4 linked regions of the Rhinolophus ferrumequinum genome follow. The protein of the gene in region 4 purifies or fractionates together with the protein of the main gene of each other region. This does not show direct contact. Links are inferred from orthologs where the notes say so. Each region holds a gene or a part of one and is shown on either strand. Other genes may lie near its edges.

Region 1 (7,965 bases), on a different chromosome or scaffold from region 4:
GCCCCTATAAAAAAATTGCTGAAGAGGAAACAATACCCAAAAATACCCTTTTTGATTCTTCTCATTGGGATAATACTAACATCTTCCAATGGATTTCTATTTCTGCCAAATCTCTTATCTTCAGAATCAGCGAAAAAGCACTATTTTTCTCTATAGTTGTGGCGGCCTGAATTTATCTCACACATATGCCACATTTCTCTGCATTATTATTATCCTGTGGTTTACTCTGAAATGGGGAGAGGTGCATTTCCTTTATTCTACCACAGACATTATTTCTTATCAAGGCATCACAAATATGTTATTGGTGCTAAAGAGAAATCCAAATGCTTTTGTGGGTCTAAACGCAGGTTAATCATACTATGCCGGGTCTAGCTGAGCTTAGTTTTCTTATAAAACCTAGGTGATATGTTTGTCATGTGTTCAGTGGGCAATCTCATTGATTGAACCCACTTATATTAAGTATTGGTTGATTTTATTTTGATTTGAGACTCTTATTTCTTTAAGATCAGATTCACAGGACTTTAACTTCAAAATGCTTGTTTTTCTTCTTTGACCAAGTTCCACTACAGTTTGCTATTAATATTCACCTGAGACTTGTTCACATAGTACTTACTGCTAAAGGAACCCAAACGGTCCATTCCCTAATTGGCAGAGACTTTGATCTTCCTCAATGCAGTGCTCCTTCAAGGAGATTTCAGAACTGGTCAACACATACACCAAAGCTTGATGTCCCCCTATGAACAAACCAAAGTGGCACATGGATCAGGAAATAATTCGAGTAAGTAAGAGAAAGAAAAGATAATGCAACATACTCAACTCTACCACATCCTTGCTTTGTGACACTAAGAAAATATTTTATTTCTATAAGCCTATTTCCCCCTCTGTAAAATGGGTATGATATAATAGTATCTATCTCACAGAGCTGTTGTGAGGATTAAATATCAAATTAAATATCCATACAAATAATGTACCATGGTGCCTGGCCAATAGTAAGCCCTTTACAAAGGCGACATTTCCCTAGTACACTACTGATTTTCTCTTCTTGGTCTCATTTCTCTCCTTAGCCCCCTTTCCTTAGGGAAACAGACTCTACATTTCATATGGTTCTGGTGGGGTTGCCACTTGGAATACTCCGTTCTCTACCCCCACAACAGCTTAAATGACCAGATCTCAGAGAAATCTGAATCTTGAATAAGACATACAAGGATGGAAGGTAGTTGGAGTTCAGTTATTCACTAGTCAAAGAATTTGGTCCATGAGCTCTGGCTGTTGAGATCCGAATCCCCAAGAGTGGCTAAACTGTTTAGTTTTCTTCTTTTTCTCATTTCACTCTTTCCAATAACACTTTAATATATGAATAAGTGTCTTTACCAGAAACCCAGGAATCCTATCCATTACAACATGCATTTGTTCACCAATTTACTCCTTGAACAAATATTTAATAGGTATGTACAATGTACACAGTATCTTCTTTAAGGCAGAAATACAAGTATGTATTTCACACTAAGCCAAGAAAACATCCCTCCTTCTATACTCCCATAGCTTTTTGTCTATCTCTTTTATGGCATTTTTTTACATTCTACTTTGTGAGGATTACGTATGAATACCTATTTTTCCCCATTTTTAGAGTAAATGAAAGCAGGAACTATGTCCAATACAAATCTGTATGCCTTCAAGTACTAAGCACAATGCCAAACACACAAAAAGAACTCAGTAAACACAAATGTATTGGTAATGGATAAATATTAGTTCCTCAAAAGGTTAATTTAAAAGGTTCTTCTGAAGTGACTTCTTTCACCGGATATTTTTAGGTTGAGGAATAATTCATCATTAAGTGTATCAACACTCAGATAACATGGCTGTCATGACCCTGTTTTTTGGGTGGTGGGCTGGGTGGGAATAGTTATCCCTCTGCTCTAGTCTCAGAAAAAGTTAGTCTTTGAAGAAAAATGAGTTTAGCAAAGGGTATTATGCACTTGGTAATAAAATAGTGGCCAACAGTTACTGAACTTTTCTCATATGCCAGGTATTGTGGTGCCACTGTATTTGGATTGTCTTTTTGAATCCTCACAACCTGAGGCGTACTACTTTTTTTCAAAGAAGGAAAGGAAGCCCTGAAAGATTATGTTACTTGTACAATGCCTTACAGGCAGTGAACAGCAACACCATTTCGACAGAGGTTAGTTGAGTGGGTCAAGTAAAGGATGTATAAACAGTCTGATAAACATTTCCATGGCATAAGCACAATATTGCAATCAGCAGGATCTTCTTTCTTCCTCTCCCTTCTTCTCACAAGAGACATTTCTGACACTAACATCCACCAAAGAAAGGATGGGTGCTAGCTCCAAATTAACATTTGTCAAACTCAAAGTTGTTACTGGGAGAACGGAAGGTACGTGAAGAACAGCATTAAGTGTGGTACAGAGGACAGGTGCAGGCTGTGCGGTTTTGCAGACAAGGTTCAAATCCTTTCATTCTGTATTAGCTGTATGACCTTGGGCAAGTCATTTTAGCTGAGCCTCGGCCAGCCTCAGCTCTAAAAAGTAGATGAAATACCTACTTTGGAAGGCCTACCTGAAAACTCAATGGGAAACGTCTGTAAGGACATGACACACAGCGGCTGTTAACGTAGTTACGCGCTCCACCATAGAAACGGAAATACCGAGGCTGAGACAGCGCAGGGCCGGCCAGACGGCTAGACGACCCTCCCCGCGGGGCGGGACCCAAGGGGTAATGCCCCGCCCCGCGCCGCCCTCCCCCACAGCGCGACGTGGCCCGGCGCCGCACGCCCGCCTACCCGCCGCGTCTCCCCAGCCGAGGGTGTTGCAGCCTGACCCCGATCCCCACAGAACCTCGCGGTCCCCGCCTCCCCCTCGTCCGGCTAGAGGGGCTCGCACCCCGCCGCTGCCGCCGCCGCCCGCCCTGCAGCGCCTCGTGCCTCACCTCGCAGTGTCCCCCTCCTGTGCGCCGAGGAGCCGCCAGCCACGTGCGCGCCACTGGGCTTGCGTGCTCGCTCCCGAGCGGCGCGAGCGCGCCCGGTCCCCTCGCGGCCCCGCAGCGTGCCGCGCGCCCTCCGCCTCCGCCCCTTCCCTTCCCTGGCCTTCGTGGCCCTGTCTCGTGCCGCGCGCCTGTCACTGTCCTCTGTCAGAGGCCTGAGAGGATGCGGGTGAGCCCTTTGCCTGACTTTCAGTCTGACCAGTAATCACTTCTCCCGTGAGGTGCGTTTCTGGTCGCCAGAGGCTTGCCGGGGCGTGGTGCCGCTCGATCCCCGCCGGAGTGCCGTGAGGTGGGGCGGGCCGGTACTGTCCTGCTTTTGTGTTTTTAACACTCTCACTCCTGTTGCAGCAGAGGAAATTGAGGCTAAGGGACTGGGCCCAAGGACGGCGAGCTGTGGCCGCCTGTGGAAGCCGGTCTTGGAGTGCTGTTCGTGGATTTACCAGACCGAATGGTTTAAGGGTGAACAGGTTACGTTTTATTCAGATGCTTCTGGAACGTCGAAATTGTCTTCTTTGGAAAGAACCATCCCCTCTTTGGGCTTCAGAGGCCCAGATTGAGGCGCACAATGATGGGAGGATGTGGTGGTCCACTCTGATGTCAATCTTGAGGGCTAGGTATGTCCCAACATCTCTTACTACTACTACTAATTATTATAATAGCTACTATATGCCAAGTGTTTATTGCATGCCAGTCATTGTACAAAGGAGGTTACATACATGGTCTCATTAAATCTTCAAAAATAACCTTTTGAGGTAGGCACTATGCCCATTTTCCAGGTGAAGACATTTAGACTCTGGCTTATCAATAAATAACTTGGGATCACACTGCTGGAAAGTGTTGGGGAAGGGGATTCAAACTGTGGTGTATTTTAATTATTCTGCTGTTACTCTATTTAGAAGTCTGTCTTAAAGGAAAAAAAAAAGAGAAACAAAAAAGATAAAGGAAAAAGTCTGTCTTTCATAAAATTGTCCAGCCTCTTTTAGAATTTTAGAATTCATTTACACTTTCTGTCTATATGGCCTCTTTATATTTTTTAGTGTATGAGTAAAACAAGTTCATTTTGTTAAAAAAAAAAAAAGAAAATTCACTAGCAAAAATGTGAAAAGGAGCCCCCTCCCACCATGTTCAATAAACAGTTAACATTTTGCTGTGCACTCTTACAGACATTTTTCTATGCATCATATCAATAAATACAGAGTAGTTTTACATTTAATGTAGCCTAAAAATCTATTCATTCAACAAATATTTAATGAGCAGACACTGTTCTACGTTCTGGCAATTCAGCAGTGAACAAAACAAAGTCTGCCTCTTATAATGGGAGGTTGACAATAAGTAATACACGTAATATATTGCTAAATAATAGATAATGCCCAGTAATGTGGCAATATTTATGGGGTAAAAGGCAGGATAAAGGGATAAGAGTGATGTGGGATGCTCTTTTAGATGTGATAGACAAGGAAGGCCTCTTAATGGAAGAGCACATAAGCAGAAATATAATCATGAAATGAGGGAGGCAGCTATGTGGGTTTCTAGAGGGAAACTATTCTAGGAGACAAGAAATGGCAATCGCAGTGGCCCTAAGATAGGGACTTGCTTGGCATTTTGGAGAAGAAGCACGGAGACCAGTGTGGTTGGAGCACAGCAAATTACAGAAACAAGTTGGGAAATAGAGGCAGAAGTCAGATCATGTATCATCTGGTAAACCATGGTTGGACTTTGGGTTTTATTGAGATATAGAGTGCCGTGGAAGGTTTGAGAGCTAAGGAATAATCAGATTTGTTTTAAAAGGATCATTCTGGAAGCTGTGTGGAGAATAGGTGGTAAAAACATTAAAATTGGCCTTTAAAGCATAAATTATCCCTTTACACAGCAATTGTTGAAAAGATCGTTTATTAACATCCGTGTTTCACCTACACCTTAACACTTGTATAACTACTCGCACATTCTCCATAAAGAGGAGATAGGGTCAAACACTCAAGACTTATCTTCATGTCTTTCTCACCTAAACTGAAATTTTTTGAGACTGGCGAGGGCATACATCCAGATCTGAACGTCATGATTGTCAACAAACGGAGTATGAGTCATTAATGTTGTACTATTGTGGAAAAAACAGTCCCTTATGATACTAGGATCTATTCATTAAAAACATTACATTCAAGCACCTGAAAATTACCCTTTCTCTTCAATTTATGTTAGGCCCTGATTAGAATTTAGTCATTGTTCAGCCGTAAGAAAAGGTGAAATAATACCATTTGCGACAACATGGATGGATCTTGAGATTATAATGCTAAATGAAATAAGACAGAAAAACTAGAGAACCATACGTTTTCACTGACATGTGGTAACTGAAAACAACAAAAGAACAAGACAAACAAATGAAGAAACAAAACCTCATAGACATAGACAATGGTTTAGGGTTACCAGGGGGTAAGGGGAGAGGGGCGATGGTTCTAGAAAAGGGTAAACGGGGTCAAATATATGGTGATGGAAGGAGAACTGACTCTGGGTGAACACATAATATGAGATATAGATGATGTATTACAGAATTGTACACTTGAAACCTATGTAACTTTACTAACAATTGTCACCCCAATAAACTTTAATTAAAAATAAATAAATATAAGTAAAAAAAAGAATTTAGTCATTGTACTTAAGAAAGATGTGGAGAAATTAAAATGCACAGTGAGAAGAAGGATAGCACTGATTAAGGTAGTGATTTTCTGAATTTTTGCCTTCAGCAGTGTAGTGGATAGTGACATCAATAAGACCAGCTGAAGGAAGAATAGATTTGGAAGAGAAATTAGAAGTTCTGTTTTGTATCTGTGTTTTGCAACCTGAGTGGAAATGACATAATGAGGTCAGAGCTCAGAGGAGAGGCAGGGGCTAAAACTGTATAATTGTTATTAGAATTGTTTCTTTGGATGTGTGTCTTCTTTAGACAGAGCTTGAGGACAGACACTGTGTCTTTTCTTCTTTATAACCTCAGTGCCCAGAAGTGCATCCTGGACGGATATTTGTGAAATAAGCAAGTAAAGGCAAAGGTATGGATGAAGTCACTCAGGCAAAATGTATAAGGTAAAAAGAGAAGCTATATCCAATCTATGCTTTCACTGGCGGTCCAAGCACCTGAACATGACTTACAAGTAGGGTGACCATAAGTCCCAACTGGCTCAGGACAGTTCTGATTTACTCCTATTGTCCCAATATAATTAGTTACATTGTCTCATTTCACTCTCAAAAGCGTCTCAGTTTGTACAATAAATTATGTGATCACTCTTTGTAGAAGGCCCTTCAAGGTCTAGTGTCTTTCTGTTTGTCATCACTGCCCCATCTCACACGTCATTCTCCAGCCCGACGGACGTACCTTGATTTTCCGTTATGCACCCTGTTCCTTCCAAGCTTCCTTTGCCAGGGTATCTCCACTTCAACTTAGACATTACTTCCTCAGGAGCATCTCTCCTGGCCCCCAAGTCTGGGTTAAGTACCCCCTTTGCATACTTCCAGTACAACCTGTATTGAACCTGTCCTAGCAGGGATGACTAAGTACCTCGTTGCTTCCCTCACTAAACATGTCTGTAAAGGAACCTGAGAAAACACCTTTCATCCTCCTTAAGACAGAAATTTACATTACCAGGATCAATCCAGGTTGGGTTAATATTTTTTGAAGGCTGACCTTCAGAACAGATTAATAATAGCACATTCTCCAAGCCCTTCCATTCATAACTAACTCAGAAGGCTGACTTTTGAATTCGAAACCCAACGAGGAAAATTGTATCATACTGTCAGACTTTGTATTGTGGCTGCCATTGACTGAGTCCAAACTATCCCAACAACTCCTTTTCAAATACTGAGCTGCGGTTGTTAAAATCAGAAGTGCAGTTTCTGAGCCTCCCTCCCTATGGAAATGATTCTCTACCATTTCTAGTTACTTGTTACGTCCAGAGTTCTCAAAGACTTTATGAACTTTATCTCATCTAATGTTTATTTTTTCTTGTAACTGAAGTGGCTCTCTGTATTTTGGTATACAAATAGATAAAATAGAAAATCTAAAAGTCTAGCTATGCCTTTTAGGTTTCAACTTCCTCCCCTTTAAACTCTGAGACATACCAGTCAATGTAAATTAACCAGGAATTTAGGTCCCAGAGCAGAGCCCTTTGCCAGTTATAGGGGCTCTTCAAGGCTAAGAGTCTTCCTGTGACGCACTCAATAGAGAGGGCTTCACTCCACAAAAGGCCTGAGCCTCAAGGATTACAGTTCTTGAGGCCCGACTCAGGACTGGTTCCAGCCTCCTTATTCTCTGTTGCTATCTCTGGCATCAAGAGCATTGCCTTCCTCCTTCCTGCCCCTCTCACTCCACCCTTCCCTATCTTTCTCCCTTTATTGCCACCCTAGTGGAAGGAGTTAGGGAATCAATCCTTTTCCTTCCAGAAGGTTCCTAGACTGCTACTTAATCCACTCCAACTATGATCAGTCTGCAGAGGAAGGGCTGATGCACCTCTCCTAATCTGCTTAAAGAAATGTAAGATCTAGGGAGTATGTGATATCTTGCTCCCAAGAATATGTCATCATTTTGGCTCAAATAAACTTACAAACATTTAAAAAAAGAAAAAAAGAAATGCAAGACCTACATGTAGCCATTTCTCCACACAGTGACCTGTCTGGGGTGCTTCTGCATAAGTAGGAGGGCCCCAAAGATCTCAAAGGTGAACAAGAGGGGAAAGAAATTCTGGTGAAGGGCCCTGCAGTATCCCACTTTACAGATGAGGAAAAACAAGGCTCAGAGAGGTAAAATCACTTGCCCAAAAGACATTCATTTACTATGTAGCACAGCCAGAATTAAAACCACATGTGTCCAAATGTAACTTAAGAAACCGCTTCTGACTATTTAAAACTGAAGAATTTAGCAGGAATCAGGGTTTTATAATGCTATGGCCATTAAGTAGAGGTTTCATGAATCCAAACCTTTGC
Region 2 (8,108 bases), on a different chromosome or scaffold from region 4:
TCATTCAAACTTCCAAGTTACAGGAAATGCAGGATAGAAGAACAAGTTAGTCATCATGAGGATGGAACAACCTGACAAATCCAGAATCTGAGACTTCTACCAGTCAACTGTCCTGGTCTCTTCAATTAGTCAATGTCTTGGACAGAAAGGGTGAAGGTTGGGACTGTACTAGATTTAAAAAGACCTAAGAGATATAACAATCAAATGCAATGTGTGGTCCTTGATAAGATTCTGTTTGTGACCAACCAGCTCTAAAAGACATTTTGGGGAAAACTGGAGAAATGTGACTATGAACTGAGCATTAGATAACATTAGGAAATTACGGTTAACTTTGTTAGACAGAATGGTACCTATAGTTAATTAGGAAAATGCTTTCTTTTAAAAACAAAATAAAACATAGGCACACTGAAGTTTCTAAGAGTCTGACTGAAATGTCACATGTTTATAATTTACTTTAAAATACTTAAGGGGGAAAATGATAGATATACTATGGGTGTGAGTATGTATTAATAAATTCTATTTTCCTTTATGTTTGAAGCAACTCAAAATAAAGTTTAAAAAGAGAGAGTATTCTAGCTTGGGGGCCAAGAGTAATTGTGGAATTAGGAAATGAAACAAAACACATCAGTGTAAAATGAATGACTGCTTTAGGCTATATTTAGTACAAAAACTGATTCGTAATTTGCCAGCTTGCTTCAGTGTGAGATAATCTGATGTGCTAAATACACTAGTACCCTAACTGATTCACTGTGCTTTATGTTGATGACAGGACATAAGAAGGAAAAAGACATATAAGTAAAGGAGAAAACTCAAAGTCTCAGAATCTTTTAGTGAGGCCAGAAATACTAGTAAGATCAGAGAGTTTTCCACGAAATAGAGTTTTCTGAACTTATTTCTCACATAAAAGTTTAACTTCTTAAAACTAACTATAAGTCAGAAAAACATTTGATGCTAAATATTTAAAACACATTTTTTATTGAATTACCTGTTTTGGTTGCCTTTCTAAGACTTCAGCTTTTAACCAGGTTTCAACTTCTTCAATTTTCTTTTTATGCACAGCAAGTTCATGCTAAAAATATCAAGTTTAAAATAAAACATTTTAACTGAAGGATTTTTGGTACATCACAGATTAATCTAAACATTTTTAATGAAAACACTAAAAAACAAACAAGAAAACACTAAAAAATAAGTAATATGATATAGTAATAGAAAAGGTTGATTACATTTAATTTTTTCTATTGTTATGAAAAAAATGTTTGTAAGCTGACACTATTGTACGAAAACTACTGGGCAGGTTTGGAATTATACGATTTTTTAAAAATCCTGAAATATATTTTGGGAAGGAAATAAATAGGTATTACATTTAGCAAAACACACACACACACACACACACACAACAAAAAAAACCCAGATTAGATCAATTCTATGTTGGGTTAAGTTTAATCTAAGATAAATACAAATAATCAATTGTACAACTTCAGAATAATTGCTGAGAAAATCTGAGCCTTGGGACATAAAAAAAGACACTGGTTTTTTTCTAATTCATTTAGATAAAAAGAATTCTATGAGTAATAATCTGAAAGTGTACATCCCTCTCCTTTATGAAACTAAATTACATAGACATGTTTACATGCTATTTATTACCTGACTTTCTGGTTTGTACTTATCCACCCACGGTTCATTTTCAGACAGATATTCTTTTGAATTTTCTAGACCATAAATGTCTTCTGAGGAAGATAGTTTTCCTCTTTTTCTAGTTGGAAATCTGCTACTTTCTAATGGGGACGACAAATTGTTTCTTCTATGACTTGAGTTTTTCACACCCAATGATGTGGCAGTAATAGTAGAAATGCTTGTATTCTCTGAAAAATCATCAAATGATGGGTCTACCCAGTCTGTTACCTGAAAAAAAGAAATCATGTAAATACTATTGCATTTTTTGCATCTGTTCCCTATGTAATTAAACTGTGTACAAAAAATGTTTGTATATTTGCAACATTTAAAACAAACATCTCGCAAATTAGCTCTTTAAATAGAATTGATGTTATATGTAATACTTATATTTCTACTTTACAGTAAATACAAATGCATACTTGTCTACTTGACCTTGGTAATGATGAATACCATATAAAGGAATATAAGATATAAACTTAATTCTTTTTATCAATGTAATCTTCCCACGATAAAGAATAGGCTGATTCTTTTAAACTTGTTTGTAGAACTGAAACATAAATATTTAAATTACCTACCAAAAAAGAAGCAAAACAAAGAAACATTATTTTACCCATGTACAACGAGAAAAGTAACACTTTTGCCTTCACCAGGTAATACATTACATTTCAATACATCCAAATAATCCCTAACAGCTTCAAGACTTTGTGAGGATATAGTCTAAGACTCCTGATGTTATGAATAATTTGTTAATATGACTTAATTATATTCACTCCTCTTTTAAGGACACAGGGTTAGAATATTATCAGCAGTGGGTAAAGAAATGAAAACTTCTGGGAAAAAATTTGGTCATAGTTACCCAATTCGTCTCCTTCTCTTTAAAAGACTGTCACTATTACTATAATTTTGGCCCTTTTCCTCAATTTTTAAGAGTATATAAAAATATTATGTGTGAATAACAATTCTGATCTACATGTTACTTATATGTTTTATAGTTTTATTTCTTACATAAATGTGGACTGCCATTTACTGAAAAAAGAGAGAAATGGCAAAGTTAAATAATTTACTTAAGATCAGAGAAAAATCAGACAAACCATTAGGAAAATAGCTACTTTGCATATGAGGATGATACTGTCCAACTCTACCTTCATCCTACTCTACCCCCTAACCTTGCTGAGAACTGGCACACTGAACCACATGATTTCTAAGAGGCAGAGCCTCTGTTAAGCTTTAACACCAAATACAATTCATATAGTCCTTTCTTCTACTGCTCTTTCAAGAGTTTTCAGCATTTTCTTTTTGATTGGGATTGCAAATGACTTTTCAAAATTAAGGTTGTACTTTTAGTGCAGAGCTGTTTCATAACTTATTAGACTTTTTAGATCACTAATTAGAACAGATACTGGCACCATTACTTTGATAGCAGTAATAAATCATTAAAAACATGTACAAAAATTTTACTTTTTTTTTTTAAGGCAATTATTACAGGACAATTTTAGTGTATCATACCTTTGTGGAAGATAGCTTTTGTCTAAGAAAAGGTTTTGACATTATAAACTTTAATAGTTCCCATCCGTAGTATATAACCTGTAGTACATTAAAGTATAATTCACCTGGGGGGAAAAATTCTCAATTAAGAAAAACTGTAAAACAGAAGGACAGTAATTAACATATGGGATATAATCAACAGCATAAGAAGGTTAAGGCTCAAGATGAGTGAAAAAGAACTAAGTGAAAGAGAACTGAGTAAACATAGGTGAAACAAGAGTCAAATGCTAAAATAAATTTTAATTTTAATGGCTATAATTGTCAGTCTATTCATGGTATTATAAATGTAAATTATTTGATACGAACTCAATAACTAGAGAAAACGGAAAAACCACATATTTGTGTACCTACCTTTTGTCATTAAGGAAAACTAGACATTCTATTTGTGTAGTTTTTATAGGAAAATTTAAAATTTCCCTTATTTCAAATTACAGTTGATTACAAATTTGTAATTTTGTAATTTGGCAAATTACAGTTGCCAAAATTTCAACAAAAACACTCCACCATACAATGAATTCAGACTTTATCACTCACTTTGGACAAAGATTTTAAATCTTACTGTAAGTTTTTCCTATAACTGTTTTCCTTATTTGAACATATTAGGAAATTTTTTGGCAACACTATATTTTCCGACTTTCATAATTCTTCAGTGTTTATACAAAACTAGTAAACTCGCCAATTTTAAGTTAGCCAGAGGAAAGTTTTTTTAAGGTCTATAAACTTATAAATTGGGAGGTCTATGGGACTTTTTTTTTAATAGCGTGGAGGCACACATAATGTGTAAATACTTCCACGTACTAGAAAACAAATCGTACACATACAGATACAAATCGTTCACGATTAGAGTTTTTTTGCTTTGGCGTTTCAAGAGATACATAGATGTTAAAAACATTGAGTACATCTAGCTGGCAGGTCGAAGTAAAAGGCACAGACTGTCGCTACGGCCAGGAGTCCAGTCGTTCTTTCAAAACAAGACTGACAATTACCTCCTTTAAAAAGCAGGTAACCGTCCTTGACGATGCCAGGGTCCTGAAACGAGACGTCAGAGGTAGAAGAAACCTTCGAGAATATTTCTAGCAGACCCACCACCACCCTACACACTGAACAGGGGTTAATAAGCTCAGACAGTTGTGCAACGTAATGCTGCTCATCAGTGGAGAGCCGAGATCCGCTCGCTTGCGCCGGCTCCAGGCCAGAGGTCTGCACCCCCACCCTCTCATCGCCAAAGGGGATGGGCAAGTAGGAAGGAGGAGCGACGAGACCCCGGGAAGGCGTGCAGGCAGAGATGGACTCGCATCACTAGGACATATACTGCAGCCGCAGCCGCGGCGGCCTTACTTGCGGGGAGCTGCATGACCTCATGCGCGGAGAGGAGCGAAGGAACCCAGGTTCTGCTCCAGTAGAAGGGAAGCCACCAGGTCTTACCCGGGCTCAGCCCCTAGCCTCTCCGAGGTCCCGCCTCACGGGACCTTCCAGACCCATCGGCCCTTCCGCGACAGAGCCCGAAGGGCGGAGGCAGCCAAAGGAACAAGCGACTTAGGCATCCAGCGCACTGCCTGACCTGAATTGCGGACCCGAACTGTGTCCCTGTCTCGGACCCTGAGATGGAATTGTGTCATAGAAGGTCAGATAACCAATGGTTGGTGACTAGAAGGCGGAGATGGGTCGCGAGCGCCGTGCAGGATCTTGAGGACCCCGGGGCCACTGGCGCTTGCCGCGGCCCGCTCCTTCCGGCTCCAGCCTGTTATACTTAGGTCTCGTGTGCCGATATTCCCAGAGCCGTCGCGGGGAGGACCATGTTGCTTCCGAACATCTTGCTCACCGGTCAGGGCGCGCGGCGGGGACGGGCTGGACGGCGGGGCAGGCCAGGGACGCTGAGTGCACTGGGGCCTCGGGCGCCCGAAGTGTGTGTTTGTCACACACACAGCGGGGGCGCTCACATATTCGAGGCCAGTCGAGGGCCTCGAGGCGTGGCAGTTGCCAGGGCCTCGAGATGGGGCCCTCGCGATCGTAGCAGGAGGCGGCGGGGGGGAGGCGGCGGGGGGGAGGGGAACGTTCGTTCTGTTGGCCCGAGGTTGCTCGGTGAGGTGGAGAGAGGTAGACCAATCTAGTTCCCCTTTCTGGCATGCTGCCTGCTCTTCCTGAATCTGGTTTTTGTTTCTAAAATGGATGTTGATTCTTTATTTGGCAGGGTTTTCTTTGGCTTTTTGCGATATCTTGTAAGGCAGTATTTGGCCCTTAGTAGATCTGTTACTGGTGGATGCCTTAGTCGTTAGGCCTTACCTGGCCGTGTTTCATTTTTCCTTTGTATCTGAGAGTCAGATTTCAGTAAAAGGGCTCAGGTGTTTGTGGTATAGGGTGATTAATTTGCTATATATGTTTGTTGAGTTAATGCCAGAGGCTTTTTTCTTTTCTTCCAAGAACAAAAGGCATCTACTGAGCATCTCGTCGTTTCTTGTGTAGAGATGCTGAAAAATTCCCGTGGGGGCCCTTCTGGGTCTCCCGGCCTGTTATACGTGAGGAGTACTGAAATGCCGCATAACGACTTTAAAGAATGTTACTGTTTGTCGTTTAACTCTGAAAATGTTTATTAAATTGTAGCAGTTAATAGCATCATAGGGCATTCATTGAAGAAAATCTAATGGTTATAGGTGCTATTACAACACAGAAAAATTGAGACACTCTGGAAACAAAGCAATAAAGTTTTCATCATTTAACAAAACATAAGCTTGTTGGTAGTGCACAATTTCTGTTTCTGAGAGTTGCAGATTAACCTCTCAACAAATTAATGTTCAGCCTTTAAGATTCCTTAAAAGGAAGATTTTACGGCATCTGAATTGTTTGGGTCAGACAGTGTCCTGGATTTTGATATTAAGGCATATTGTCAAAAATCAAGGTGAGCATTTTATTGAAAACCTGGTAAGTCCAGGGTTCAAACTTGGTGTATTATAGTGGACTTAAGGTAAATGTTATTGTCTTGTATATGGAGACTTGATTTATCCCTGTTATCTTGGATTGTAACGATCAAGTTTTATTATTTCGGTGACATTAAACCCAAACAGCCTAAAATTATGCATTGATGCATCTTGAAATACAATAGATAATAAAAAGGGAAAGTGAAGAACAATGTGTAGCGTTGCCATTTATGTAAAAGGGAATGTATGTGTGTGTATGTGCACATAATATGTATACATATATGTACACATGCTGTTGTGTATACATATACATGAATGTGTACACAAACACATACATAGGACTTCGTTGGAAAGATATATAAGGAACTGGTTTACAGTGGTTGCCTCTAGGGAAGAGTACAGGGGATCACAGGTGGAAATGAGATTTGTCTTTCATACTTCTTAGATTTTTTTCCCGTGAATAATTTCTTAATTTTTAAAAAATTAAAGCGAACAAGGATATTAATTTATGTGGGATGGCTAATTTTACTCTGGGAATGTCCATAGTGTTGGCAAGCAGTCTGAATTGGCATCAGAATCACCCAAGCCACACTCCTGATAGAATCAGATACACTGGGTGAGACTTGGACATCCATCATGCTTGGGGTGGTTATTGTGTGTGTTAATTCACATGGGATTGCTAATTAGGAAACTTCATTTCAGTCATTAACCTTAAGCGGGGCACATAGCTTACTAAAGCCTAGTAAGTATTTCATGAACAGTATTTTTCTTACAGGTACACCAGGGGTTGGAAAAACCACGCTGGGCAAAGAACTTGCATCAAGATCAGGACTGAAATACATTAATGTGGGTGATTTAGCTCGAGAAGGTAAGGGACATTTTGATGTTAAATTTGTTTTTAAAAAGAGAGAGTGTGAGAGACAGATAATGGAGTATTAGTACTATCCTTGAGAGGGTACAACATGCAGAGAAAGATTGCCATTAAGGAGTTATGCTCTACTGGGGATCCATAGAAATCATAAGCATTAAGTGTCTAAAGCTATGTCCTGGCTATTTTGACCATTACATTGCTCCCCAGTTGACTAGCAGTTCTTGTGGACAGTAATAATTGAGGTTTTCATGAAGAGATTGGATTTAGGATAGGTAGAATCTGAATATGAAGAAGAGGGACAATGTTTGGAGATGGGTCAACACAAAGGTTTGGGTGGTGCTGAGGATGTCTTTGGAGACAGTGTTATATTGATCTTACTGGAAGGACAGATTATTTTGAAATCAGACAGTAGAACATGACTGTCCTGTGGTATTTTCTTACATTAATTTGATAGTTGCATGTCTGCATGCAACTGCACATATTCTAAAATATGTTTTTACTTATTTTACCATTTCCCCCTCATCTTTTATCACTCCCTTATTGTGTCTTTATCTTTGTTTATCTTATAATTGTATCTTTATTCTATAATGATTTCTACAGGGTAGAAACTCAATAAATTTAAGGGAACTTCTTAAAGTGTGCCTCATTAAAATTAAAAAGATTTAACATATTTTTAAAATTTAAATATGTTTTGAAAAATTTAACGTATTTAAAATTTTTTAAGTTCCTGACAGTTGCTACTATAGTAACTATTTCAGGTTTGACCTAATGTACGTATTTTTTTCAAATGATCTGAAGTCTGATCACCGGATATCATGGAGTCTGGCAAGATGGCTTCTCCCAAGAGCATGCCGAAAGATGCACAGATGATGGCACAAATCCTGAAGGATATGGGGATTACAGAATATGAGCCAAGAGTTATAAATCAGATGTTGGAGTTTGCCTTCCGATATGTGACCACAATTCTAGATGATGCAAAAATTTATTCAAGCCATGCTAAGAAAGCTACCGTTGATGCAGATGATGTGCGCTTGGCAATCCAGTGTCGTGCTGACCAGTCTTTTACCTCTCCTCCCCCGAGAGATTTTTTATTAGATATTGCA
Region 3 (7,976 bases), on a different chromosome or scaffold from region 4:
GAAGGCACTTTATTATGTGAGGACATGATCTTGCATGTAGAGAAAACCCTAAACATTCCACAAAAAAATTGTTAGAACTAATAAGTGAATTCAGCAAAGTAGCAGAATACAAAGTCAAATGAACAATATCAAAAGGAAATCACAGAAATAATTTCATTTATAATAGCATCAGAAAGAATGAAATACTTAGGGATTAACTTAACCAAGGAGGTAAAAGATTAGTACAATGAAAACTACTAAACACTGCTGAAAGAAATTAAAGACTTAAATAAATGGAAACACAACTCATGTTCATGGATTAGAAAATTTAATATTGTTAAAATGTCAATACTACCCATAGCCATCCACTGATTCAGTACAATCCCTATCAAAATCCCAATGACATTTTCTGCAAAAATAGAAAACCTATCCTAAAATTCATATAGAACAGTGGCTGCCAGGGGCTGGGGGGAAAGAAGGGAATAGGGAATTATTGTTTAATGGGTGCAGAGTTTAGTTTTACATGATGAAAAATGTTATAGACATGAATGGTGGTGATGGTTGCACAATGTTACGAATGTATTTAATACACTTAAAAATGATTAAGGTGGTAAATTTCATGTTATGTGTATTTCACCACAATCTAAAAAAAAGTATACATAAGAGTTAAATGATAAGTACATTTTTTTCCATTATCGACCACATCCTTCCTGATGGAGCACATGTAATAAGTGCATTTATTCGGGGGTAGGGGGAGGTGACATAAGGGAGGAAATTCTGCAAACACTATGTCAAGCTACATATTTTTAAAACCTAAAGAGCTCTTAACAATAAATTAGAAAATGACCAACAAAAAGATGCAAAGGACAGGAACAGAAATTCACAAATGGCCGATAAATGTGGAAAAATCTTCAACCATATTAGTAATCAAGGAATGGAAAAATTAAACAAGACACCATTTTTTATCTATCAAATTTAGTTTGGGGGCAGATGAAATAGGTGTCTTGAAGGCGGTCTTTTTTCTAATTCACACTCACTGTCTTCATTTCCTCAATCCCGTTCAATTATTCCAATGTGGTTTCCACTTTAGACCTCTGGATAGTTAAGTACTACCAATGACCAAAACCAGCAACCTCCATGATTTCAAATCCAACTGAGCATCTTACTAAACATCTTAGAAACACTGATAAGAGGACCAACTCTCCATCTTCCAGACACTTACCTCTCTTGGCTTCCGTGACACCAGTCTCCTGCTTTTCCCCCTAACTCACTCTTTCTTTCTGTCCTATGCTCAATCTTCCTCTACCAGACCTCAAAGTATTGGAGTGCCTGAGACTTGATTTTCACTTATTTATACTCTTCCCCTGTGTGATATCATATAGTTTCATAAATGGGAATATCATCCATATAACTGAGTACATACTCCCAAATTTTTATCTCCAGCTCTAGTCTCTCTTCTGTGAGTTCCAAACCTGTACATCCAACTGCCTCGTCAACATAACAACTTCAAAACTAATATGCGCCTCAAATTTAATACATCCAAAACAAAACTAATGATTTTTCCCACCTTGAAGTTCTCTCTTCCATTCTTCTCAGTAAATGCCATCGTCTACTCACAGTTGCTCAAAAACAAATACTGAAAAGCAAAGACTTCTTCCTTTCCCTAACCAATCCATTTATTCCAAGTCTTGTTCATTCTTCCTCAAAAATGTTTTTTAATCTTTCCATTGCCATGGACCTAGTTCAAGATACTGCAAACAGCATCCTAACTGGTCTCCCAGTTTCCACTTTTGCCCTCTTCTGTCAGATTATGCTCCTTACCTATTAATACTCAAAATCTTCAAAGGATTCCCATAGAAACCAGATTCCTAACCAGGGCATCATCTGCTCCTATCTTTGAAAGAATATACACAGCCAAAAATATACACTCAATGATAGTATCTGTAGACAGGAAAACTATGGGTACTTTTTCTCGTTTTGCTTGTCTGTAGTTTTAAATTTTCCCATGATGAATACTTGCTACTTGGTTGTTAAGAAAGAGGAAATGATATTGCTGAACACTATTTGTTACATCGCATTTTTACATGCTAAGGAGAAAAGGGAATGGAAAATTGTAGGTAATCTCTAACTGTAACTGTTACAAGCTTAGATGAAACTACTAGCAAACATATCGACTCTAAACATGATGTGCCAAGGCTGTAGGATTACTGGTGATATTTTCCTTCTCTACTTTCTATTTTTGAATGTAAGTACATTCGTAACAGAAAACAAATATTATGATATAAACCTCATTGTCTTCTGCAATCTGGCCACAACCCACCAAACCAGCCTTTCTTCCAAGTACTCACTGTCCCATGCTTTCCACTCCAACCCCGCACTGTCTCACACCTCCGCTGCTTTAACTTGGGCACCATCCCTGGAATATCCTCCGACGTTTCTAAATCCTACTCATCCTTCACGCGGGAGGAGGACGGCTAGGATGGCGACAGGTTGGAGGGAGATTCCAGGATTCTTGTTGGTAAATCCACAACTTGCTGGTCCTGGGGCCAAATCTCACCACTAATCCCATCACAGGCCACCAAGCTTATCATCCTGAAACCTCCGGCCACTGGAGCTCAAGGAACCCCCATCCCTCAAAAAGCGCTGCGCCCCTTAGAAAAGGAGTCCCCCCTAGACATACCCAAATTCCGGGTTCCCCCTTCGGACACTTCCCGGACATACACACTCAGCCTGGATCCAGCCTCCCCCCCAGATCCTCTCCCCTCCGCAGTCATCCGCCCCTCCCTCCGCTCCGCAACCCGGGCCGCGCGGCCGGAGGGGTGGGGGAGGGGCGCGCACGTGCCCGCGCCGCCCCCGCCCAGACAAAGCCCGGGAGAGCGGAGCGCGCACCCGGCCGGTCCCATCCAGCTCCCGCCAACACTCACCCTTTCCCTGGTCTCCGGCTGAAGCGCAGGCCGCGCAGGGGGAGAGCACCGCGGAGGGGAGGGAGCGGGCGAAGCCCTGCAGAGCAGCCCCACCACGAAGCTCCAGCGACCCCGGAGCCCGCGGAAGCACACAGCTCAGTGCAGCCCGCTCGGCCCTGCACGTCACCACTAGGGGCGGGACGGGGTGCGCGCAGCGGTGGCGGCGGCGCGCGGGCGCGCGACCCGGGGGCGGAGCTCGCAGAAATGTGGGCGGGAGCGGGCGGGAGGGGCGGAGAGGGGGGCTGGCCCTGGCCCACGTTCTGACCCTGGCCGGCGCTGCCGCTCCTCGTGGGGTGTCTGGGGATCGGTTCTGGCAGAGTCACTGTCATTTATCCTTTTCCTCCCTAGAAGGAAATGACGCAGCCCAATCCCAAGTTTGACAGAATATTCTGCCGGCATTTGTGAAGCTTTTACAGTACAGTAATAACAGCAGTAGCTATGATTTTTGTGTCATCTCGTACCAAGCTTTGTGCCTAAGTAGTAGAGACACAGATAACTATAGGTATTGCCAACCTACTTTACAGATGCAGAAACTGAGGCTCAGAAAGGTTGGAACTTACCTATGTCACACAACTAGTCAGTGACAATCCATCAAGTCCAGGTTTCCTCTTAAATATCTTAAGTCCACACTTTCCTTTCCCTCTCCTGTACCACCCTGCCCCAGACCCCTTCATCTCTCTTCCCAAGACTACTCTGGTCTCCCAGCTGGTCTCCAGGGATCTGATTCTGTCCCCCTTCAATCTGTTCTCCTGTGTAAAGATTTTACCTTTGGAGCTGGGTGGTAGGTTTAGAGGGGGTACACTTTGTAATTGTTTTATACTTTACATATATGTTATTAAGTTTTTCGATGTATATAATGTTTACTAAAAATATTTTAAGGGATTTACTCCTTTATCTCCAATAGCAAGCCCAGTGCATTGCACATAGCATGAGCTCAAAAAGTATTTGTTGAATGAATGAATAGTACGGCCAGGAACTGACTCCAAAACCCTGCAATATAAGGGAATAGAATATAATATGTCACCCCAGCCTTCTGACCTTAACGTCTACTCCTGACCTTAAGGGTAAATGAGATTGATAATATTTGTTCAGCAAATTTTTGCTGCATTTCTATTCTGTGTTTTGGCACTGTGTCAAGACTGCGTCAGGCACTGAAAATCAGAAATGAACAAAACAGTTCATTTTAGTCAATCTAATGTGAAAGTCTAGGAAAGGCCTCCTTGAGCCTTAGGCTAAGACCCAAAGAGAAAATAGGAATTGGGAGATAACAATACTTTTACTGGAGAAAGACGTAGGGTAAGAGGTCAGCAGGAGTGTGTCAGTGTTCCTCTACTTTGGGGTCTAACCCTGAGGCAGGGGCATAGAAGTATCCAGCTAAGTGGGGGGGGGGGAAGAGGGGGAGGAGGGAGTGTTAGAAGCCCACTTCCTTTGGCCTAGCTTGAAAGGCTGCCCATTTCTGGCAGAAGGTTCCCATTGAGCAGGACTTGGGAACAGAGAGCAGCACTGGGAAGAGAGAGGAGTCAAAAAATGCGGCATGGTGTCCACAATTTGCACCTGGTGTGCCAGAAAACCAGCCTTCTCTGCATGCTCCCTGCCAGACAAATAGACAGAGCCATGGACAGGCCAATGGGCGCTGTGCCAGGTACCAGGTGATGACCAGAGGCAGTGGAGGGAGGACTCATTGGCAGGGAATGGCTGGAGAATGGAGCTAAGACCCCAAGGATAGAACGAGCTGAAGTGCTCCCAAGTCAGCTGGGGAGAGGAGAAGGGATGGAGGTGTGGGAGCGGGGAAGGTGAGACATTAGATTCTCAAAGTGCCGTAGCAACAGATGATGAGCTTGCCAGCCAGCAACCTCAGCAGCTGATGCCAGCAGGGCCATAGTGACCAGGCGTGACCAGGGAGGCCAGTGAGGACCCAGGCTACAGCTCACAGTTCTGTACCCCTCCTGCCACTGCCTTGGAGCTTCCCTTGGATCCCACAGGCCATCTTGGGAAGTCAAGAGGGGAGAGGTGAAAGTTCTGACAGGACTGCAACTGTGCATTGACGAAATAGTTACCCTAAATGAGACTGTTTAAGATCAATTAACTGTTTTTTCTCTCTTGGAAATTTTATCCGTTCTGGGGACAGGGAAGCAGGCAGCCCCTGCCTCCTGCTGAGGGTGTCACAAGCCCTCCCTGTCTTCCTTGCCATTGATGGGGAGGTTCCCATGTTCGAAGGAAGCCAGGAAGGCCTTGAGCTTGAGCGGGGTACGGAGGGTGCCATGTAGGTGGAGAGCGAGGGGAAAGAATCCAAGCAACGGGGGCCAGGACCTGGTGATTCAGCAGCAAGTCGAGCAGGTTGTAGTCTGCAAAGGAGACCTGGTTGCCCATGATGAAGGCCTGGTCCCCCTGGTTCGAGGACAACAGGGTCTCAAAAGACTTCAGGCGCGGGGACAGTTCCTTCACATAGTCCTTGTTGCCCGCTTCATAGTTGGTATAGATGAGGGTGACGTACTTGGAGCGGAGGTCCTCCATGCTGTCATTCACCATGTCCATCAGGGCCACCTCCCGCTGGTCCTTCCCATAGAATCCGAGGGAGACGCTCAGGTGGCTCAGGATGGCATTGGATTGGTACAGGGTGAACTTGGGGAGCTGCCCATACAGACAGGAGGCCTTGAGAGGGCTCCACGGACAGTTCTCCTCAGTCACCAGGTCCTTCTTCCAGCTCTGACCCTGCTCAGACAGCAGCATGCGCCTGGCCTTGCAGCGCCCTTAAACAGGGAAGTAGACAATGGTGTAGGGCCTCTTGGTTGCCGCGTAGACAAAAGTGCTGGCGGCGCTCAAGACCAGATAACTTTCCTTGGCAAGTTTAAGTTTAGCCCAATCCCCAAAGTTGTAGTGATTAGAGCCCATGAGAAATAACATAGCTACCGATTTTTACACATATGCATGCAGTGTTGTACATTTCAACAACAGATAAGCTCTGTGAAGGAAACGGACGGTGCTCAGAAAGCACAGCACAGAGGGACCAAATTTCGTGTGAAGGTAGAAAAGGACTCCCTGAAAAAAATACGAAACGAAACCTGAAGGCAGTAGGAGCTGTTGAGTCACCATAAAGCCTGAGACCAGGTGAGAAGTCCACGGAAACTTAAGCAAGAGCAGAGGGGCTGGGGATGGGGCTGACTTAGGCAGGAGCAAGATCACGCAGGAGGGAAGAGTTTGATCTTTATGGTAAGAACGACAGGAGGCCTTCAAGGGTTTCAAGCCAGAGAGTTAATGTATTCAACTTGCCCTTTAGAAAAAGATCACTTACCCTGGCAAATGGGTGGGGAATGACTGGGAAGGTGTGTGAACAAAGTAGCAGCCAGACAGTTGCAAAGCAATTTGAGTGGCAAAGGTGAATAATGAAGGTGGTTTACACGGGACAGTGGAAATGAAGGGAAATGGATACATTCAATAGTTGCGGAGAAAATGCTGAGAGACTTGGTAATGAACGGGGAGGAGACCAGGGAGGAAAGGAAAGGAGACTGGCCCTGCTAAGTCAAGTGGCACATGAGGAAAAGCCTCCCCATCCTTCAAGCAGACAAAGACCTGTGCTGGGGCACACAGCTCGGCGAGTGGCAGGACGTTGGATTGCAGGCCCCTCCTTGGCCAGGCCTCCTCAGGCATTGTTCACCTGTACAGTCACTAGAGGTGGGGTGTGGGGGTGGGTTGGGGAGTGGAGCAGAGTGGGGGATGGGGTGCGGTGGGGGTGGGGTGGGTGTTAAATGTACAGTGTTAATGAAAGGAAAAGCAACTCATATTAAAGTTAGTCAGGAAGTTTCCAGTAGTGTTGACACTGGCCCAGGAAAAGGAGCCAGTAGTTTGGGGGGTGGTGGTGGGGGAGAACCTATGCTGGCAACTGCTGGCAAACAGCTTCTTGCAGCAGAGAAACAAGGAAAGCCTGAGAAAGGTGGGGAACCCGAAGCTCTGCCTGAGAGGGGGAGGGGAAGCTGGCTCAGATGGAAAACTGTAGTTAAACTGACCAAGCGTTCCCAGGCCCCAGGTATCCCGGACATCCCCCTGGGAAGACCAACCACCCTTCCTAAGATTAACAGGAGTGGGAACTCTGGAGCCCTTAATGTAATGAGGTTCCCCTACCAGGGTGCAGATACTAATTATACATGTAAAATGAGGACCTCACTTATTTACAGCTCCAAGCAAACCATTAATGTAATTAGTGTCTGGGAATTACACTTAGGCAGTTAGAAATAAATCGTTGTCTCCAACTAGGTCCAAACAAGAAGCCAAATGTCTGTTTGTCCTATTCGGATTTTGGCAAAACCAAATTCCACTCTTGCAGATCCTATTGGATCCTACCCTAACCCAAAAGAAGCCATGTATTGTGCTTCTCTGTGTGGATTGCACAGTCACTGTAGAATTACAGTCTTTGGGAATGAGGGTGATGATGCAAGACGTGTTTTCATTCATGGAAAAAAAAGGAGGGGTAGGTGGAATTTGCCCTGAAAGGAAACATTCTATGGCTGGAACTGGTTGGACTCTCTCTTTGTTTTGTATAAAAACGAGGCCTCTAGATACGGAGAACTTGGACCTCTCGTACATTGCTGATGGGAATGTAAAAGCATGTAGCCGCTGTGGCAAACAGCTTGGCAGTTCCTCAAAATGTTAAACACAGAGGTACCACATGACCTAGCAGTTACGCTCCTAGGCAAATACCTCAGAGAAATGAAAGCATATGTCCACACAAAATTTATATAAGAATGTTCATAGCAGAAGCACGTCCCTCAATAAAGTTGTTAAAAATAAAAAGAGAGGCTTCTGGACAGATGCTAAAAATGTCTGAAAATTACTTGTAAAGGTAAGGTAAAGTAAATATAAAATTTCAGCTATAATATGGTGCTGGTGGAATTTGGGCAATGTGAAGAGGAGAATGTATAAAAATAGTTCCACTTAAACTTCCAACTCAAATTTTTAAAGACTGAAGAATTTTGATTTTAATTTGGTTACATATCCTTATATACATTATCAGCTTTTAGGTGCCCAGTTAACACAATA
Region 4 (8,078 bases):
CTCCTGTTGGCACAGCTCCAAGTTTTCATAACTGCTTTCAGTTTCTCCACTACAGGAAGCTTCACCTCACCCCACTCTGCTCTGCCAAGATTCCTTGGCACCCACTGACACTTCCTCCAGGAAGCCATTCCTACCCCAATGGTGCTCCAGACCAGGAACTGCCAGCTCTGAGTTCCAGCAACACTTTAAGAAAGCAGTTCTTTTTAATTTCATTGTAATTGGTTCCCTGCCCACACCTCCCCAGGCCCCCAACACATGTGTGTGCACGGCACATGCTCGCGCACACATACACATACATACACACACACACAAACACACACACACACACACACTCTGTAACTCCAGAAGGATAAATTCTGGGTGTCATAGCCCCAGCATCCAGCACAATGCCGGGCACCCAGTTGGGACCTCTCTAAATATTTACTGAATAAATGAGCAAATACAAAGTGACACTTTCAGAGTCTCCCCGGAGCAGGAAGAAGGGTCTTTATTAAGAGATTCTCGCTTCCTATAAGTTTGATTGTGAATGTGAACATGAAACACGCAAGTCACAAACCTTACAAAAGGTGCTACATCTCACTCTTGGAAATTTGAAAGGATCCAAAATATCAATGCAAGGCTCCTAGTTTTAGAAAGGACCAAAACTTCAGGAAAGTTTTTGGATATTAAAGCAATAGCGGGCAACAGGAAGAGAAGGTGCTCATGATGGAAAAACCTATAAAAAGGCAGGGCAGAAACACTAAGTGGACACAGTGCCTATATGAGCCCACTCTGGCTGCAAAACACCGAGTCCACTAAGTAACTGACCTTGTTCCTGATTACTCTAAAGCCTTCAATAACCAGCTCCTGGCCGTCACCTTTCTTAAGCACACTCCACATTTTATCTTTTTTGCATTCCGTCTTCAGAAATACCAACCACATGGCATTATTGTTTCACAGTTTCAGAATTCAAAAGAGTCGTATAATATACTGTCCCGTTCTGAACTTGGGACTTGCTATCTGGAGTGAAGTCAGTGAACTAGCATCAAGCCACCTAAGAATGTGTTAGAAATGCAGATTCTCAGCCCCACCCCAATTCCACTAATTTAGAATCATCATTTTCAACCAGCTCCCCAGGTGATTCCCATGCACATTAAAGTTCGAGAAACACTGGGCTAGATCCTACATCCACTCAACAAGTATTTATTGAACGAGTGTCAGGTACTCAACAGGCGTTCAACATATACAAGAGGATGTGAATGGTGTGGGAAAACAGTAAGCACAGACACTCCAATGCAGCTGAGAAGCTCCTGTAACTACTAAAAACAACATCACCAGGGGGGAGAGAGGTTCTGGAAGGATTAATAATCTTTACACCAAAATTCAAAACTGGCCACTGCAGCTCGGTTGTGGGAATCTGGAAACATGACCCTGTTTGCAGCAGGCGGGAGGAATACATAAGAGGTGTGTGAGTGTGTGAGGGTGTCTCTTCCCTGCCTCAGCCACAGGCCGCAGGAGCTGACAAGGCCAAGTCCCCGCCCCCTTCAGCTGTCACCCTGTCAAAACAAAGCCGCTGCTGACAGCGCTGGGCCAGGCTGCCCTGCGGCCTCGGGCAATCCTGCCACTGCGGGAGCACGGCGTCCACATCTGGATCTGCAGCTGAGGGGCTACGGGGTGCCGAAAGCTAGGATGGAGAGGGGATGGCAAGAAATGTGTGTCCTCAAACTGAGCAGCAGCGCCTGCCGCGCTGGGCTGTCACCTTGCCAAAGCCTGTTTACACCCCGAGCAGCTGGGACAGCGTTTTAACTAAACAAGTAATAACACAATAATGACGGGGCTGTCGCCGCACGCCGCAGTGCCTCCACCCTCAGTGGAAGGAGCCCAAAGCTACAGGACCCTCGCAGTGAGATGTGCCCACCTTCTCACCCGGTGCGTTCCACCCCTTCGATCTCCCAACGCTCCGGGAGTCCCGCAGCCCATTCCACCCTCACTCCTTCTTCCAGCTCCTCCCAATGGGGCACAGGGAGACGATGCGCGAAGAGGGGGTGCTCAGATTCCCCCAAAAGATGTTTCCTTGGCCCTGGGGCGCTCGTTACACAGTGAGCACTGCTCCACTCCCGGGAAGGCACCCCTGGCGAGCTCCTACAGAGCAACAAAGCCCCAGGGCAGCACAGCAGCGCGGACACAGAGGCTACTCCTTCCAAATGGGAGGAAAGAAAAGCTCTCGGTCTTGGTGATCCCCCTTCTTCCAACCCAAAAGCGCTCCTGTCCGAGAAGCAGCTAATTGGGCGCGGGCGACAACAGCACTTCCGCGGTGCAGCGGCCCCAGGCGGGAGGCGGGAGGCGGGAGGCGCGGGCGGGAGGGGGAGGGGGCGGGGGTCCCGTGAGCTGGGCCCGAGTCCCCTTCGGCGGTCCGGGAGCGGCGAGCGAATACCTTGCAGGCGGAGTACACTCCGAGTTTCTCCAGTTTCTTGGCCCGCGGAGCGGAGCGCAGTTGCGCCTTCTTCACGGCGATTCGGGCCGAGCCGCCGCCTCCTGGTCCTTCGGCCGTGCCCGCCGCCGCCACTGCCGTCGCCGGTCCGCAGGCGCCCGAGCCCCCGGCGGCGGCGGCGGCGAACGGGGAGCCCTGCGGCGGCACGGGGGGCGGCGCGGGGGGCTGTGGGGGCAGCGCCCCGAGCCCAGCCCCGGCTCCTGCCCCACCGCCACCCGGCCCGGCCCCGCCAGCCTCGGACATGCCGCCCCGCAGCACCGCAGGAGGCGCCGAGTGTCAGGCGCCGCCGCCGCCGCCAGGGTCTCCCTCTCGGGCTCTGGTCTCAGGGAGAGCGAGACCCTCCCCCCACGCCCTCCCGCCCCCTTTGCCCACCCCCCTCCCCGCCCCCGCCCGCCCCCGCGCGCGCCGCTCGCCCGGCTAGCTCCGGCCGCGGCCCGCGCGCTGATGGTGGCGGCGGCGGCAGCTGCTCCCCCAGGAGGGAGGGGACTAGCGGCTCCGCGGCCGCCGCCGCCACTGCACACGCCCTCCCCCGGTTCTCCTCCCCGGGGCTCTGTGAGCCCTGGCCGCGGACATGTTCCTCGGGGCTGCGGACTGAGGGTGCGTGCAGGCGGTGCCAACCTCTCGGCGATGCCAGAGCCGGGAAGCCACCCCCCCTCGGCCTCTTTCCCGCTGCCCGCGGGGTTTTGCACCCCCCACCCCCGCGCCTCTACTCCTAGCGCTCACCCGCCAGGGGGCGAGGCCAAGCTCGGGAGGGGGTGATGGATGGGGGCGGGGAGGTAGGGGGCTGGAGCCCAGGCACCTGCTGGCCGCCTCTATCCCCACAGCCCCCGCTGCTGACCCCCGCACTTGCAAGCCGAGGGTGCGGGGGGGACTCCCAGTCATTTGTTCTTCCACTCTGTTCCACCCTCTCTCGGAACAGAGAACTTCCTCCACCCTAGCGGGAGCCAGAGGAAAATAAATATTTTTTTAAAGTACCCGTCTATGTTAATCCTTTTCTTTGTTGCTAATTCACCAAAATAGAGGCGTAATGTTTTCTGTTTCTCTTTTTAAATACTTTTCTGTCCAACTTTTTTCTTTTTAATTAAGAACGCTTTCTTCCTGCAGTAAATTCTGGGTCCAATCGGCCAGAAGAAGAAAAAGACTTAATATTTTTGTAATTTTTGTTTGAAAGTGCTGGTTGTTAAAACACACACACACACACACACGGTTGTCTAAAAGCACTGTCAAAATGAAAACTGCGTACTGGGGAAAGTTTGAATACAAGTTTGTTAATAGGGCTCATCTCGGTATAGTGTGGTGATAATCTTGCTATATTCTTTTCTATAATGTACCATAGTTTTCAAAATTGATACCACCAGCAGGCATATTAACCATGAAAAAAAATTAAGCACACCAAATATGAGTACTGATTTTGGCCTCAAAGTTAAAAAATCAACGCAGCGTTTAAACTGTTGAAAACTATCGTTTTCCTTGTCCATGACGATGAGGGTTGTGTTTAGTAATGTGGAATGAACATTGCATTTTTTCATTTGAACGTTGTGCATCCTTGGTCAGTCTTTCTAAAACAGTTTTTTAAAGCCCAGGGCTGCTTTTCAGGACCCTTCACAAGTGCCCTGCTTTCATAATGTGAATGATAACTTTTATGTAATATGGGTCATAATGTGCATATTATCAAATTCTTTGCATGCTGTATTATTCTCACCCAAATCCAGCCAGAAATATTAAGGAATGTGCTTTTCCCTGGAAATATTTCCCTTCCCATTCCTGTTTTTGCCAGTTAATTTTCTTTTTTATAGATTCTCTACATTCTTTTGATTTTTAATGCAGAGTGATATGTAAAAATGGAAAAGTGTTCAAAGTTTGTACATCTAACCAGTGGCATTAGACGAGGCAAAAGGAAATATCCTCTCCCACCTTGAGTCCAATCTGAAGGTCTGAAATGGCAAACTCTCCTCAGGTCGTTCCCATTGGAAGAGTTGCTTGGGTGCTTCACTTTACCACTGTTACTCTCGCCTTACTCTGCTGAGGTGTTTCACAGGTGTTTTTTTTTTTTTGCCATTCTTGCCAAAGCAGCATGGGAGTATTAAAGGCTGTGATCCTCTGGTCAAAATCTAACATCATGATGTTAGCAGATATTGATAGGGGTTTGGGTTCCACATGTAGGCATTTGTCAAACTGATGGACTGGTCCACTTGATATTTGTGCATTTCACTGGATATAAATTTCCCTCAAATATGTTTTTAACATCATACATATTGACCTCTACTTAAAGTTTCTCATGCTGAAAGTTTAGGTGTGCAGTGCCCTGATATCTGCAATGTGCTTTGTAATGCACAAAAAAATCAGATGGATCGATGTATCTGTGAATGGGAAAATAAGCAGATGAGCATATATATGATAAAGAAGTGTCAAATGTTAAGAGTGTATCTAGATAGAGGGTATAGAAGTGTTCACACTGCACAATTCTTCCAAATTTTCAGTATGTTTGAAATTTTCCATAATAAAATGTTGGGGGCTGGGAGGAACCCAGCTTTACTATTAACTCACCCATCACCTCCTTCTCCCAAAGCCACTCCCAGAATTCAAATTGCAGGCTATTTGCAGAATGTTTGAAGAAGAAAACAACCTCATTTCAATACACCCTGAAAACCATCACTGTCTGAATGGTGAATGGCTTGTGACATCTACTGAACATTGTTTTTCATTATTTTCTTGCTCAGGGCACCCAAATGACATACTGCCTTAGGCTGAAGGCCTAGAGTTTGAAGGCCTATTCAAAGTGTGTTATGAGCACCAGGCAGGGACATTTCAAGGGCAAAGGATTCCGGAGACTTCCTAACCAGGCTGTTGTGAGTATTTAGCTCCTGTGTACAGAGCCCTTTTAGGAAATGGGTACCCAGAAAATAAAAGTCAATGTTTTAGTTTACAAAGTATTTACAACTTACTGACGTAAAGAGAAGCCACAATTACAAAATAAAGGGCGTGGGGAGTAGGAATTATACGGGTCAGGTTGACCACTGGAGGTTACTTTTGGCGTATTAATACTATTATGAGATTATTACAAAGAATGACCTTTATATAAATATAACAGCATAGATAGATCTCCAAGAAATACTGTTGAATGAACCCCTGTACAGTGTAATATCATTTATGTTAAAAACAAACTGCCCCCCGCGAGGAAAAATAAATAAATAAATAAAAACAAACTCATTGGCATATAAGCACAATCCTGTATGTGTTCAATAATGCATATAAAAATGCAAAAGCAAGAGAAAGATTTAGAAAGACACACAGCAAATTCTTAAAAGTAGTTCCCTTCCACTGGGCACCCTTGAGAATAAAACTTATTTTCTCACTTTGTATTCCCCTGTTCCTCACTCAAAGAAAGTTTTCAATAAACACTAGTCATCATTTCTACCTGTAAACTCTATCTTCAATCTTTTCATACCTGTCTCCGTGGCCATCATCTCTCGCCCTGACTATTGACAGCGACTTCCTAACTGGTCTCCATGATTTTACCCTTGCTCTTCCACAATCCCCTCTTCATAGTTGTACAGAGGTTTCAAACTGTAAATGCAAAACGTATTCCATACTTCCCTGCTTGAAACCTTCCAGTGGTTTCTCATAACACTTAAAGCACAATCTCAACTCTATAACCTGATCGGCAAGATCCACCTCTCCTGGCCCTTCTCCCCATGTGGTAGTACATACTCCAGCCAGACTCAGGAAGCTCTTTCCAGCCTTAGGGCCTCTGCATTTGCTTTGCTGCCTGAAACCCTCCCCCAAACAGCATGGCTGGCCCAAAATACCTTTAGCGTTACTTTATTCATTTTTATTTTTAGTTGTTCTTAATAACAATTTTACATATTTAATATGGAAAATAGGAAAATAATAGGCCTAAATGTGTTGGCTGAGCATTGCTCTTGTAGAGAGAGAAGGTTTTTCCCCATTGTTTTGTTTTAAATACTAACATATGTGCTTGTTTTACCAGCCTACCTACCATTTACAATGAAGGTAGAAAGTAAGTAGAAGAAATGAAGTCTCCTTTCTTCCGAACTCAGGCTAAATGGCTGACAGCTTTTCTAAAGCAATATCTGAGTATCTATGTCTTCAAGCATCTTGAAAATTATGGAAGAAAATAAAATTTCCAAAGAACCAAACTTTGATATGACCTACATTTTCTGTAGCAATCTGAATAGCATGAATTTTATTTTTGTTAGTGCCAGATAATTGTTTTTTTAAAAAAACCTAAGAGGGATTCTAATTCCCTAACTCTGTGAAAATGGTCATACACATAATTTCACAAATTTAGAAAAAAAATTTTATCAGGACAGGTTTTCTAAGTTTAGGGTTCCCTTAGATGGGCAAACCAACTACCTCTATTCCCTTAATCTTAGGTCCTGGTTGGCTGAGCACAGCAGCTGACTCTCTAGGTCTAAAATCAAAGCTCAGAGCAGGGTTTTCAACTTATGAAACAAGTGTTATACATCAGCAACCACTTTGGGTAAAGAACTCAAAAAAGAAAAATGGAAAGTAGTACGGTACAGTTGTTAGACAAGGCGAGAGGAATGAGCCGTCGTGGGAACTATACTATAGTAACATGATATCTTCTGAAAGCACAAACATATTTGTGTATAGTAACATGATATTTTCCCAAAACACAAAAATCTGTATATTGTTATATTTCAAACACATAGAAAAGTTCAGTGAGTGAGATAATGTCTATATTCACTAACCAAATTTTCTCGTTTTCATTAGCCAGATATGCTATATGTACTAGTAATTAATTAGTTTAAGAAATCCTTCATATCTCCCTTTATCTCATATATATATTATTAGGTTAAGAAATCCTCCTTCGTATCTCTCTTTATCTCATTTCCCAAGTATCCTTGTATCCTCCTTCCTCGTGTTTTTTAACATTTACAAAATAAACCCTGTAGAGAAGGGTTGGGTGAGCCTTTACTGTAAAGGGCTAGATTGTAGATTAGGCTTTGTGGGTCATAGTCTCTATTGCAACTACTCAGCTTTGCCAAGGTATAGTGTTCTGGAAAAGAACACTTCTTTCTCTTACATGGCTGGAAACCAAGAGGATATTAGCCTGTTATAACTACCCACCAAACACTCCCATCTTGCTTGTTATTGTTGTTTCACTCTACATTTTGTTTATGACACAAACCAACTTCCTATGTGACTGTAATATGTTAGTTTGCTGGGGATGCCATAACAAAGTACCAGAAACTGGATGGCTAAAATAGCAGAAATTTATTTCCTCACAGTTGGAATGTTAGAAGTCCAAGATCAAGGTCTTGGTGGGGTTGGCCATTTTCCTCCAATGTCTTCACGCGGTCTTCCCTCTGTGTATCCCTGTGTCCTAATCTCATCTTCATATAAGGACACCAATTATATATGACCTCATTTAACCTTAATTACTTCTTTAAAGACCCTATCTCCAAGTATAATCACATCTGAGGTACTAAGGTTTAGGAATTCAACGTATGAATTTGGGGTAGGGGACACAATTCAGTCCATAACATGCAATAAATAGTGAATTAACATACTGAACACTTCTGCCAATATATTTGAACAATTCCCATGTTCACCATTTCTT

The links.
Region 1: the proteins of KAT2B (region 4) and TADA2A purify together in Homo sapiens (affinity purification with mass spectrometry; 6 studies listed by BioGRID and IntAct, with this or other methods). This does not show direct contact. The link is inferred for Rhinolophus ferrumequinum from reciprocal best matches to the Homo sapiens genes KAT2B and TADA2A.
Region 2: the proteins of KAT2B (region 4) and TAF9 purify together in Homo sapiens (affinity purification with mass spectrometry; 3 studies listed by BioGRID and IntAct, with this or other methods). This does not show direct contact. The link is inferred for Rhinolophus ferrumequinum from reciprocal best matches to the Homo sapiens genes KAT2B and TAF9.
Region 3: the proteins of KAT2B (region 4) and YEATS2 purify together in Homo sapiens (affinity purification with mass spectrometry; 3 studies listed by BioGRID, with this or other methods). This does not show direct contact. The link is inferred for Rhinolophus ferrumequinum from reciprocal best matches to the Homo sapiens genes KAT2B and YEATS2.

Annotation. Positions count from the first base shown.
Region 1 is NC_046304.1:23,902,609-23,910,573, forward strand, and holds the start of TADA2A (transcriptional adapter 2-alpha), read right to left. Parts: upstream 3,011-7,965; 5' UTR 2,944-3,010; intron 2,703-2,943; exon of another isoform or gene 2,575-2,702; intron 735-2,574; 5' UTR 639-734; coding exon 614-638; intron 1-613. Other genes in the region: ACACA (acetyl-CoA carboxylase 1), read left to right, coding at 3,161-3,166, 3,346-3,611. UniProt on the Homo sapiens protein: Component of the ATAC complex, a complex with histone acetyltransferase activity on histones H3 and H4. Required for the function of some acidic activation domains, which activate transcription from a distant site. Binds double-stranded DNA.
Region 2 is NC_046290.1:44,820,340-44,828,447, reverse strand, and holds the start of TAF9 (transcription initiation factor TFIID subunit 9), read left to right. Parts: upstream 1-4,988; 5' UTR 4,989-5,015; coding exon of another isoform or gene 5,016-5,043; intron 5,044-6,909; coding exon of another isoform or gene 6,910-7,002; intron 7,003-7,803; 5' UTR 7,804-7,820; coding exon 7,821-8,108. Other genes in the region: cell cycle checkpoint protein RAD17, read right to left, coding at 986-1,069, 1,645-1,902, 3,181-3,284, 4,206-4,248, 4,558-4,581; AK6 (adenylate kinase isoenzyme 6), read left to right, coding at 5,016-5,043, 6,910-7,002. UniProt on the Homo sapiens protein: The TFIID basal transcription factor complex plays a major role in the initiation of RNA polymerase II (Pol II)-dependent transcription.
Region 3 is NC_046285.1:61,258,113-61,266,088, forward strand, and holds the start of YEATS2 (YEATS domain-containing protein 2), read right to left. Parts: upstream 3,107-7,976; 5' UTR 2,904-3,106; intron 2,728-2,903; exon of another isoform or gene 2,660-2,727; intron 2,525-2,659; exon of another isoform or gene 2,328-2,524; intron 1-2,327. UniProt on the Homo sapiens protein: Chromatin reader component of the ATAC complex, a complex with histone acetyltransferase activity on histones H3 and H4. YEATS2 specifically recognizes and binds histone H3 crotonylated at 'Lys-27' (H3K27cr).
Region 4 is NC_046300.1:27,741,138-27,749,215, forward strand, and holds the start of KAT2B (histone acetyltransferase KAT2B), read right to left. Parts: upstream 3,137-8,078; 5' UTR 2,714-3,136; coding exon 2,414-2,713; intron 1-2,413. UniProt on the Homo sapiens protein: Functions as a histone acetyltransferase (HAT) to promote transcriptional activation. Has significant histone acetyltransferase activity with core histones (H3 and H4), and also with nucleosome core particles.